Daphnia pulex: one gene and its partner. The protein of the gene in region 2 interacts with the protein of the main gene of each other region in a pairwise test. Links are inferred from orthologs where the notes say so. Each region holds a gene or a part of one and is shown on either strand. Other genes may lie near its edges.

The links.
Region 1: the proteins of E3 ubiquitin-protein ligase Su(dx)-like (region 2) and ubiquitin-conjugating enzyme E2 L3 interact in binary tests that used the Caenorhabditis elegans proteins (3 or more experiments, as listed by UniProt). The link is inferred for Daphnia pulex from reciprocal best matches to the Caenorhabditis elegans genes wwp-1 and ubc-18.

The regions. Positions count from the first base shown.
Region 1 is NC_060017.1:3,016,299-3,020,409, reverse strand, and holds ubiquitin-conjugating enzyme E2 L3, read right to left. Parts: upstream 2,137-4,111; 5' UTR 1,962-2,136; coding exon 1,935-1,961; intron 1,836-1,934; coding exon 1,740-1,835; intron 1,669-1,739; coding exon 1,540-1,668; intron 1,418-1,539; coding exon 1,205-1,417; 3' UTR 988-1,204; downstream 1-987. Other genes in the region: replication protein A 70 kDa DNA-binding subunit-like, read left to right, coding at 1-171, 230-313, 376-445, 514-638, 703-810. UniProt on the Caenorhabditis elegans protein: Ubiquitin-conjugating enzyme E2. Accepts ubiquitin from the E1 complex and catalyzes its covalent attachment to other proteins. Required for diet restriction-mediated lifespan extension, probably acting as part of a complex with ubiquitin-protein ligase wwp-1.
Region 2 is NC_060026.1:2,733,498-2,738,873, reverse strand, and holds the start of E3 ubiquitin-protein ligase Su(dx)-like, read right to left. Parts: upstream 3,518-5,376; 5' UTR 3,166-3,517; intron 3,085-3,165; 5' UTR 2,979-3,084; coding exon 2,885-2,978; intron 2,821-2,884; coding exon 2,676-2,820; intron 2,615-2,675; coding exon 2,458-2,614; intron 2,387-2,457; coding exon 2,238-2,386; intron 2,159-2,237; coding exon 1,835-2,158; intron 1,768-1,834; coding exon 1,612-1,767; intron 1,549-1,611; coding exon 1,440-1,548; intron 1,364-1,439; coding exon 1,197-1,363; intron 1,117-1,196; coding exon 988-1,116; intron 857-987; coding exon 614-856; intron 505-613; coding exon 345-504; intron 220-344; coding exon 1-219. Other genes in the region: alanyl-tRNA editing protein Aarsd1-B-like, read left to right, coding at 3,642-3,680, 3,751-3,879, 3,945-4,197, 4,275-4,393, 4,456-4,572, 4,644-4,774, 4,836-4,902, 4,976-5,116 and 2 more. UniProt on the Caenorhabditis elegans protein: E3 ubiquitin-protein ligase which accepts ubiquitin from an E2 ubiquitin-conjugating enzyme in the form of a thioester and then directly transfers the ubiquitin to targeted substrates. Ubiquitinates klf-1.

The DNA.
Region 1 (4,111 bases), on a different chromosome or scaffold from region 2:
GGCGCTGGCACTGGTGGTAGTGGTGGGTCGTATAAGACTTTCGCTGAAGCAAAATTCGAAAACCTGGGAAAAGATAAACCTGATTTCTACAGTGTTAAGGCTATGGTTGCTATGATCAACAAAGAAAGAGCGTTGTACATGGCTTGTCCCAGTGATGAATGCAACAAAAAGGTAAACATAAATATATAATAAAACAACTCATTTTTGACAATATTTGCGTTTCCCGCAGGTCATCGATCAAAACAATGGCCTCTATCGATGTGAGAAATGCCAGCGCGAATTCCAGGAATTCAAATGGCGCATGATGCTTTCGGTATGACAAAGATATTTTATGAAATCTATTTCTCTCAAAACAGCACTCGAAATTTGTTATAGGTCAATATCGCGGATGCCACGGACCAGCAATGGGTAACCTGCTTCCAAGAAACCGCTGAAACTCTTCTTGGTAATTTTGTTTTCGAACTAATGTTACGTTTAGCATATAATATTTATTTATTTGATTATAAATTTTAGGGAAATCCGCAGACGAGGTCGGTAGATTGAAGGATTCGGATAATAACGAATTTCAGAAAATTTTCGAAGAAGCTACTTTTAAGTGGTATGTCTTCCGCCTGAGAGTGAAAATGGAGACGTACAATGTAAGTCTATGAGCATTATGAATTTCGATCTTGTTATCTGTTGACGCTTTTACCTTTTCTTTAGGATGAAAGCCGCCTCAAAACAAATGTCTATGAAGTGAAGGAAATCAACTATAAAGAGCACAACGAGCGATTGATTCGAGAAATGAAAGAAATGGCTGCATCAGAATGAATGGATTTTCCCTTGCTCCTTATCTATTAAACTTATAAAAAACCTTCATTTTCGGATTATACAGGAACAATTCTTTATGAATTCCTGTTCTTGTGAATCAAATCGAGATCCCGGAAAAACCGTGTGTGTAACATGATAATAAATGATTTGCAAAATAAACATGGATATTACAAAAAATAATTTTTCAGACAACTGCAAATGTATTGTTTTTCGCAGCTCATGTGCAATGAAATATTTCAACCATCAAGAGAGGCAAAGATAGAAATGAAAATAAATGAAGATCACAGTGCAGCTCTCACTGCTCTACAATGAAGTGAAGAGGGAAAGAGGGGGGACCAGTTCAAAATTTTAACTCTGCCTCTTCTCAAGTGTTTATGATGAAAACAGAAAACATTTAATCACTTGGTCTCTTCTCACTGTTTTTTTTTGTAAACTCTTCTGCATTCTTCATGAATTTCTTTTTGTCTTTGGAATACTCTTCAGCAAGATCAGCCCTAAGTGGATGTTCAGGCTCTGGATCATTAACCAAGGCAACCAGCGCTTGTATCACTTGATCAGTTTTGGTGGCAGGCTTCCAGTTTTCAGCACTTATTATGGGCAAACAGACCTGAAAGAAATAAACACACAATAATAAGTATGGCAAAAATTCCAAAAGGCAAATGTTTTTAAGACCTAACAGAAATTGCCAGACAAATAAGATATTTACAAGGTTAACATTGAAATTTTTACCTGTCCCTTTTCATCAATATTTGGATGATAGATTTTTGTCTTGAACGCAATTTTTGGTGGTTTGAATGGATACTCAGCAGGGAAATTTATTTCAATCCGAAAAGCTCCTTTATTGTAGGGAGCATTTTCCTATGAAAAATATATGATGGCTTGTAACCAAGGTAATTCAATCAATATTCATCTAAAAAATTCAGACTCACAGGAACAATAAGTCCATGCCAAGTCAAAATGTTTTGTTCATCAACTTGAATGTCGCGAAAAGATTTCAACCCAGACTTCTTGATGTCTTCCAATTCCTTTGACCACACAGAGAATACATTAAATGTTTATACAGATGAATTATTATCACTACAGATTATGAATTTGTGATGCAATATAGATAACTTTCAACTCACCTTGTGAAGTCTTCTAGTTGCCGCCATTTCAATTTAATCAATCAATCAATTACTGAAATATTACTCTACTTAGCGATTTATTGAAATTATTTACTACTAATATCTGAAGTTACTTCCACAAAAGAGCTGCTGTGAACGGCTGCTTGCCTGCTTGCAAACTTGTGTTGGCCTCGTAGATTTCAAGGCCATACACAAAGCACGTAAGTTAAAGTACCGCATACAGAGCCATCTTAAGTGAAAAAATGTTTCCTGAAATACGATTTTTTCAAAATTGGAATAACCAAACAAAAGCGCATGCGCGTAATATTTTGCTGTGCACAGTTCAGACTTCAGAGTAAGGTAAAAAAAAATCTTGTCTTTCTGTCATTTAAATAAAGAGCCGTAATAACAACATCAAATAAAGAGATAAAAATGCGAAAAATTAATCTTTTGGCAAAAATTCGGAAGCACTATTTGCAACATAAATTTTGCAATACGCGAAGTACATTTGTTTTTATATTTAGGTCACAAATTAAAGCTGCTGTTTGTCTGCCTGATCTAGTCCAAGAGCTTTTTTTTATTTGATTACTTATTGTGTACGTAGGTTATCCTATGGTGGTGACTAGTCATTTAGTCGATCTTCGAAAATAACGATAAGCGAATTCATGATATACAGTTCAACCCGCAATCATACGCATATAAGGGAATCATTGTCGTTTCGGAAACGGCGGTGTTTCTTAACTTGAAATCTATAATTTTGTGGCTGAACTATTAACAGATGTGGCTAAAGTGAAATAAAGTGGCAAGAGTCGTAGTTATTGCGGGAAGAAAAACAAATGTCACGTCCGTATGTGTACGTGTCACAAATGTGATGAGGTTTGACTTTTTGGAAACTAAAAATCTGGGTGAACGAAGATACGGTATCTTTCTTATTGTGCTAGCGGTGCTAGATTCTGTGAAATTTTACGGGATTCTTAAGAGATTCCGAATCAAAGTTTCACCCAAATTTCGCTACTAGGGGCATCACTGGAATGTGCGAAGATTTAGAATTTTTCAGATTCTACGAGATGCTACAAGATCCTGAATCAAAGGTTCGCCAAATTTGGCTAGGGCCTAGGGGTGCCAATAAAAAAATGCGGTTTGCGCCTGCTAACGGTGAGAAAAAGGTAAATTTTGTTAAATTCTAGAGATTATGTGAAATTCTCCCAGATTTCGAAGATTCTGAGAGTTGCCAATCTGGCAATCGCTCGGGGCCTCGGCCGAATTTAAAATGCATTCTAAAAATCAAAATTCATCGTGCAAAAAATTTAAATTAATTTATTCTTATTTAGATAAGACTAAGCACGTTTAAAAAGTGTTGCCTTCGGTATTTTCAATAAAATTAATTCGGGATTTTTGTAGTATTTACATTTTGTGCCTTTGGGCTTTGGACTCATCATCGTCTGTTCAGGTCTGTCAAAGAACAGCCGGCAATCCAAACGACAACATTTCGAATTAAATTGCATAAAATTGTTTTTCTAGGAAATAAAATAAAAAATAACGTAGTAAGTAATATTTTTATAAATCTCTATTTCACAAGTGACGTGGCTGCAATTGAATAAAATATATTTTTAAGAGAACAAATTATAATCTGGCATTGCAGCCGCAATGATCGACAACGTAAAAAAATCGATTTATATTATAGCGAGAAAAACTAAGAAAAGAAAAACCCGGTGTGTCGTCTTTTCACGATACTTTCTATCCTATCAACGGTAATTTACGAGGTATTTTATCATTACTGGATTATGTGTCGCAGCGTGATCGAGTCATTGTCATAACTAGACTCTTGTGTCGAATTCAATTACATCTAAAGATTGAGGTGTGAAGCAAAACAAGAAAGGCTTATGCTGTCGACTCCTTCACATGTGCGTTGGCCATCAACGACCTTGCTCGTCCTCCAGATAGTGTTTCACTAATATTTGTTTCATTAATAGCTGTTGATTAGCTGAAAATTCCATATTAACATTCCATTCAAGTAGTCTTAAAAGTGAGTTGAAGTTTTGTTTGACGAGAATTTTTCCATTCAAACTTCATTTCATTCTAGTACACATCACATGTCAGTGTTTTTGTACTATTTAAGTATATTCTTTAACTGACAGCTTCAATTTACGACATCATATTATTCTGTAGATTGTTATTTTATCTTGTAGTTGAGATCG
Region 2 (5,376 bases):
CAATTCGTGGTGAGTCAACTGTCCGAGGACCTCGAAATCGGCCGAAAAGTAAAGCTCCAATCCGCACTCTTCCAGATTGTTGTCCTTGACCCACAGGAGCGAATTGTAGAATTCCGGATCCACCGACTCGATGTCTTTGGTCGTCAGCTTCTTGTTCAGCATGCGCTTGTAGAACGGCAGCGTGAAAGCCGAGTAGATGAATCGTCCGTGATACAAAGCCTGTTGTCGTGTGCAAGGACACAAATAAAAAAACAAACAAAAAGAAAGGATCGTGAATGTCATTCCGGCCTCGATCGACCCAAATTCTGTAAAGCCGAAAGAGATTTGTCGGCCATCATCCATACCATGGCGATGAATCGACCGATAAACTTGAAATAGTGCAGGTGATCGGGATTGACGTGGGACGCCGGATTGATCTGAAGGCTGTAGTTATTCTTGTTGGCGTATTCAAAGAGGCAGTACATGGGATTTAGCACTTCGTGTGACAGCAAGAGAAACCATTCCCTGTCAAAACAAAAAAAAAATGAATAGAAAAATCAGTTTCCTCTTCAGTGTCCAATTAGCGCACACTTCAAGGGACGCAAAGGGGGTATTTAATTAATAATAATTTTACCTAGCCACTCCTCCGTAATCAAGGCCCTCCTCGCCGCGGAAAATGACGTACAGCCGCCTGCGGAGCTCGTAGGCGGGCAAGCGCATAATCTGATGGTGCGAATCTTCAAAGAGCGTCGACCGGTTGAGAGTGATCTTGATGTGTGATGGTAAGGCATTACTCTGACACAGATAGCGGAATTGAGATAGCTTCCAGCGGAATGAGCGCTCGTAAGCGATGGGAACGCCATAGGCACCTTTCGGACTGCGTCCAGCGCAATGAGGAAAAAAAAAACACAAGCAATTAACACACACAAAGCAATAAAAGCACTTTCAAGTAGCGGGCGAGCTGGATAGAACACGTTGTGGCAGTAATGATGGACAACATAATCATACCCTTTAGTTGCGCCTGGTCTAGGATCTTGGAAGGTGGTCGTCCGGGTATTGTGATCCACAAAATAATGAACACCATCGTCCGTGATTCGCATTTCCCAGCCGGGAGGCAAAGGATCTTCTTGGTTCATCCTGAAATGAATCAGAGAAAGAAAGAAATGAGATATAGATTGATTGAGGGATTTCGATGAATTGACAAGTGAGAGACACACCCCTGGGTTCTCGGATCCTCCCACTGTGTGGTGCGATTCTTGTGGTTGACAAAGTAGACCCTGCCATTAGGCTCGACACGTTTCTCCCAGCCTTCTGGCAAAGGTCCAAGCGGATCGCTCTCTTCCGTACCCGTCACCACCGCCGTTCCGGTGCTGACTCCTCCACCCTAGTTAGGAAAAAAACAACAACAACATCAATGCAAGTGACGTCACGATTAGCTCAATGATCAATGAATCAACTACCTGTGGAAATAGGAATCTCTGGCTGCACTGTTGAACAACATGCGCTCGCTGGCCTTGCCACTGTTCGTAATGTTGCAGACGTTCAACATTCGGTCTTTGCCATGTCGTCCTGGTTAATTTACAAATACGAATTAATTTAATTGAAAAAGTTGAAACCATTAAATAAACTTACGATCGAGTGTTGTGATCCACGTAGTAGGCTCGACCACGAGGGTCTCTTCTCATCTCCCATCCGGCCGGAAGAGGCTGCGGGCGCTCCCACGTCGTACTCCGCGTGTTATGATCGACGTAGTAGCGCCGGTTGTATTTATCGAAACGGACTTCCCATCTAATGAAGACAAAATAACGTCAGTTACATTTCAAATGGATGTGATACAACAACAGCATCAACTCACCCTGGCGGAAGAGGTTCTTCGGGGCCAGGTGGAGCAGCCGGAGGTGCTGTCGTGGCTGGGGTAGTTTCAGTCCTCGGAGCCGGTGCTGCCACTGTCCCGTTGGGAGTCCTGGACGGCGTCTGCTGCGGTGTTCCGTTGGGTGTCCTGGATGGAACACCAGTTACTACTGCTGGAATGGGGGCGGCTTCAACATCATTCGATCGGGTACGAGGACGAGCTCCGCCACCATTTTCGCCCGTGGTCAAATTCGTGACAGGAGCTACTGCTGCACCGTTCGTCCGGATCTCAGCGGTTGAGCTGGATTCACCTGTTTCTCCGTTCACTCTGATGATTAAAAAAATGGGAGCACACAGATTTATAATGATGAATCGCTCGCTTCCATTTGAACGCTGCACATTATTACCTCGTTGCGCTTCGACTACTGCCTGTCAACAATTTTGGATCTACCCTCATTCCGTCCATCACAATAAAAATTTCTCCAATCTTCACTTTAGAGCTGCGACCGTTAGCTGCTTCTGTCGTTGATGCAATGCTAGTATTCTTTATTTCTCCCTATTGATGCCAGAAATATTGAATAATTTTGTTTGTTTTGTGTTTTTCTAGTAATCAAGTATGAGGCTTACCTTAACATCCAGAACAAGACTGGTTTTATCAAATTTCCCTTGTTCTCGTACTAGTTGTTTTTGGATATCTATTCTGCCTTCTCCTAGAACCAAATCTCGCTTGAAAGTTGAATGACTGTAGAGCCTCAGTAGACATTTTGAATTGATTTTCACAAGACTAGAAAAATAAATAAGATAAGACACTTGCAAATGTGCTGAATCATAGCAACTGTACATACACAGTAAAGGATTCACAAGACCAAGTGGGATCATGTGTGTTCTTCACAGCCTCAGTTTTCCAAACCACTTTCCCATCAACCAAGATTTCAACATATGGTGAAGGCTTTTTTGTTATGCAAACTGGGTCAACAGTGGCCTTTAGAACTATATTGCATAAATCAGATTAGAACTTTTCCAATGTAAAGATTAAATATCAATTGCATTGAACCTGAGAGATTTAGTTGATGAAAGTGGGAGTCATTGTTGTTCCTAGAGCTTGCGCTATTGGAACTGGTTACAACAGCTGCAACAGTTTCAGCCATTTCATGGAGGTCAGACCTTGGACGTTGCTGTAGTTCAGAACTACACCAGATACTAAACTGATCTGGTGTTTTCAATACTATCAAAGCCCATAATCAGAACAGGAACCTGTAAAAAATTTAAGAGATAAGATGAGTACTGATTTTTGACGTCATCACTGATAAAGATTTTGCTATGCAAACCACTAACCTGCATCCACACTGCTACATGGAACATGAATGATGTTTCGGTGTTGAAATTAATTTATAATCTTTATAACAACCAGGCTTTAGGACTTTAGAAAAATGTCACTGTGAAGTGAAAACAGCAAAAAAATACACCTACAGGGCTCAGTTGAGTATTAGCGCGAAAGTAAAATTATCTCTTTAAAATGTCAATAAACCGAAATACAAGCAGGCAGTATAAAGATTAGAAACTCTGGTGGTATTTCCCGTTGAACGAGATAAAATTATAGCTGCAATTATAGCAAACACACAAAACACAAGTACAAGACTACAAGTCTTTGCAATAAGTCACCATTTTTTCTTGGCTTAAAACACTGTTGCCAATTTCTTCTCTTAGTGTTTTCTTCAAAGTTGTAAATATTGCCAACAGATGGATTGTATTTTTGTCTGCTAGAAAGAAAAAAAAAATAACAACAGTGCAAAATTTGCCAAAAGTCTACGATGGTCTTTGAATGTCAAAAATCACCGTACAAGAAAGAGGTTCAATAAATTTTCCTTTTTGGTATTTGTATTTTCTTATCCTATTAATGATCAGTATGGTGTTTCGTAGTTTACGAGCAAAGTCGTCTCTTGTTCGCCGTGTCAGATCGAGAGGCTCGTCCAGGGGAAAAAGGAGAAAGTACAAGCATTTGAAGTCTTATTGGAAGATACCGTTTTTTTTCCTGAAGGTGGAGGCCAGGTAATTTTTACGTTAAATTACACATCCTCATATAGAATTGGTTTTAAAAATTCAAATGTCAAAAGCCTGATGACAGAGGCTTCTTGAACGGAATCCCTGTCTTTCAAGTCAAAAGAAGAGGGAAGGATGCCATCCATTTTTTACAAGACAGCCTGGATGTTGGGACTCTAGCTACAGGTGTCATTGATTGGGAGAGAAGGTGGGATCATATGCAGCAACACTCTGGGCAGCATCTAATCACTGCAATTGCTGATGCTTCATTTGGTTTCAAAACAACATCTTGGTGGCTTGGGGAATCTGTTTCCCATATTGAATTAGGTAAATTTTTCCTTCTTAACTTTGTGTTCAGAATTTTCTGTAGCATCATTGATTGACACTTAATATTAAATTACAAGATACTGTAAATCTGACTGATGCCCAACTAAAAACCATTGAAAGCCAAGTGAATGAGAAAATCAGGGAAGCTGTCTCTGTGGAAGTAAAAGTATACGAAGGAGATGCGATACCCGACCAAGTAAGAATTTTACTTTAATTGACATTAAAGTTAAATTAAAGAAAACCATATTGGGTTCGTAGGTCCGTTCTAGAGGTCTTCCCGATGACCACGTTGGTCCTGTTCGCGTCGTAACTATTTTAGGTGTAGACAGCAACATGTGTTGTGGAACTCACGTTTCCAACCTTAGTCATTTACAGGTATTGTACGCAGTTTACTACCCCCAATAGTACAAGCAATAATTAACCATCGATTAAAATACTTCATTTAGTTCATAAAGCTGCTTTATGCTGAAAAGGGTAAAAAAAATAAGACCAACCTCTTCTTTATAAGTGGAAATCGAGTGCTAGATTACATCAATCGTTCACTTGACAGGGAGCGCCAGTTGACTAAAATTCTGAAGTATGAAATGCTTAAAATAATTGTTGAAATGACAAGTGATTAACTCATTTGCTCGTTTCAGAAACGGACCTGAAGATCATGTCGATTTAGCTAATAAATTACAAGCCTCAGTAAAGTTATCACAAAAGGTAAAACAACTTTTGAACTTCTCCGTATCCTAATCGACTGTAGATTAATTTAAAAATTTTCTTTTCTTTTAAGACTTTGCAAACTTTGATGAAAGAATTAGCTGTCAATCAGGCAGAGAAAATTAAAACCGAGAAACCGAAATTTTCGATTGTTCACCGCAAAGACGGCGATGCCGATTATGCAAGTGCTCTAATTTCAGAACTGGCTTCTGAGGTATCTAGATTATTAGTTTTTAATTGTCCTTATTTAACATTAAAATTTTCTTTTTAATATTCTCTCTTTAGGACATCACATTACTTATTACTGTGGGAGAAGATAACAACGGGCAAATGACTCTTATTGGTCAAGAGGATGTGGTCAGCTCTCTTGGTCCAAAGTACGTTCCATTGCGACAGAGATCTCCTTATCGGAACAAACTTTTTAAAACTAACTCGCAAATATTTGGTTTTAGAATTTGCAGTTGTTTAGCCGGA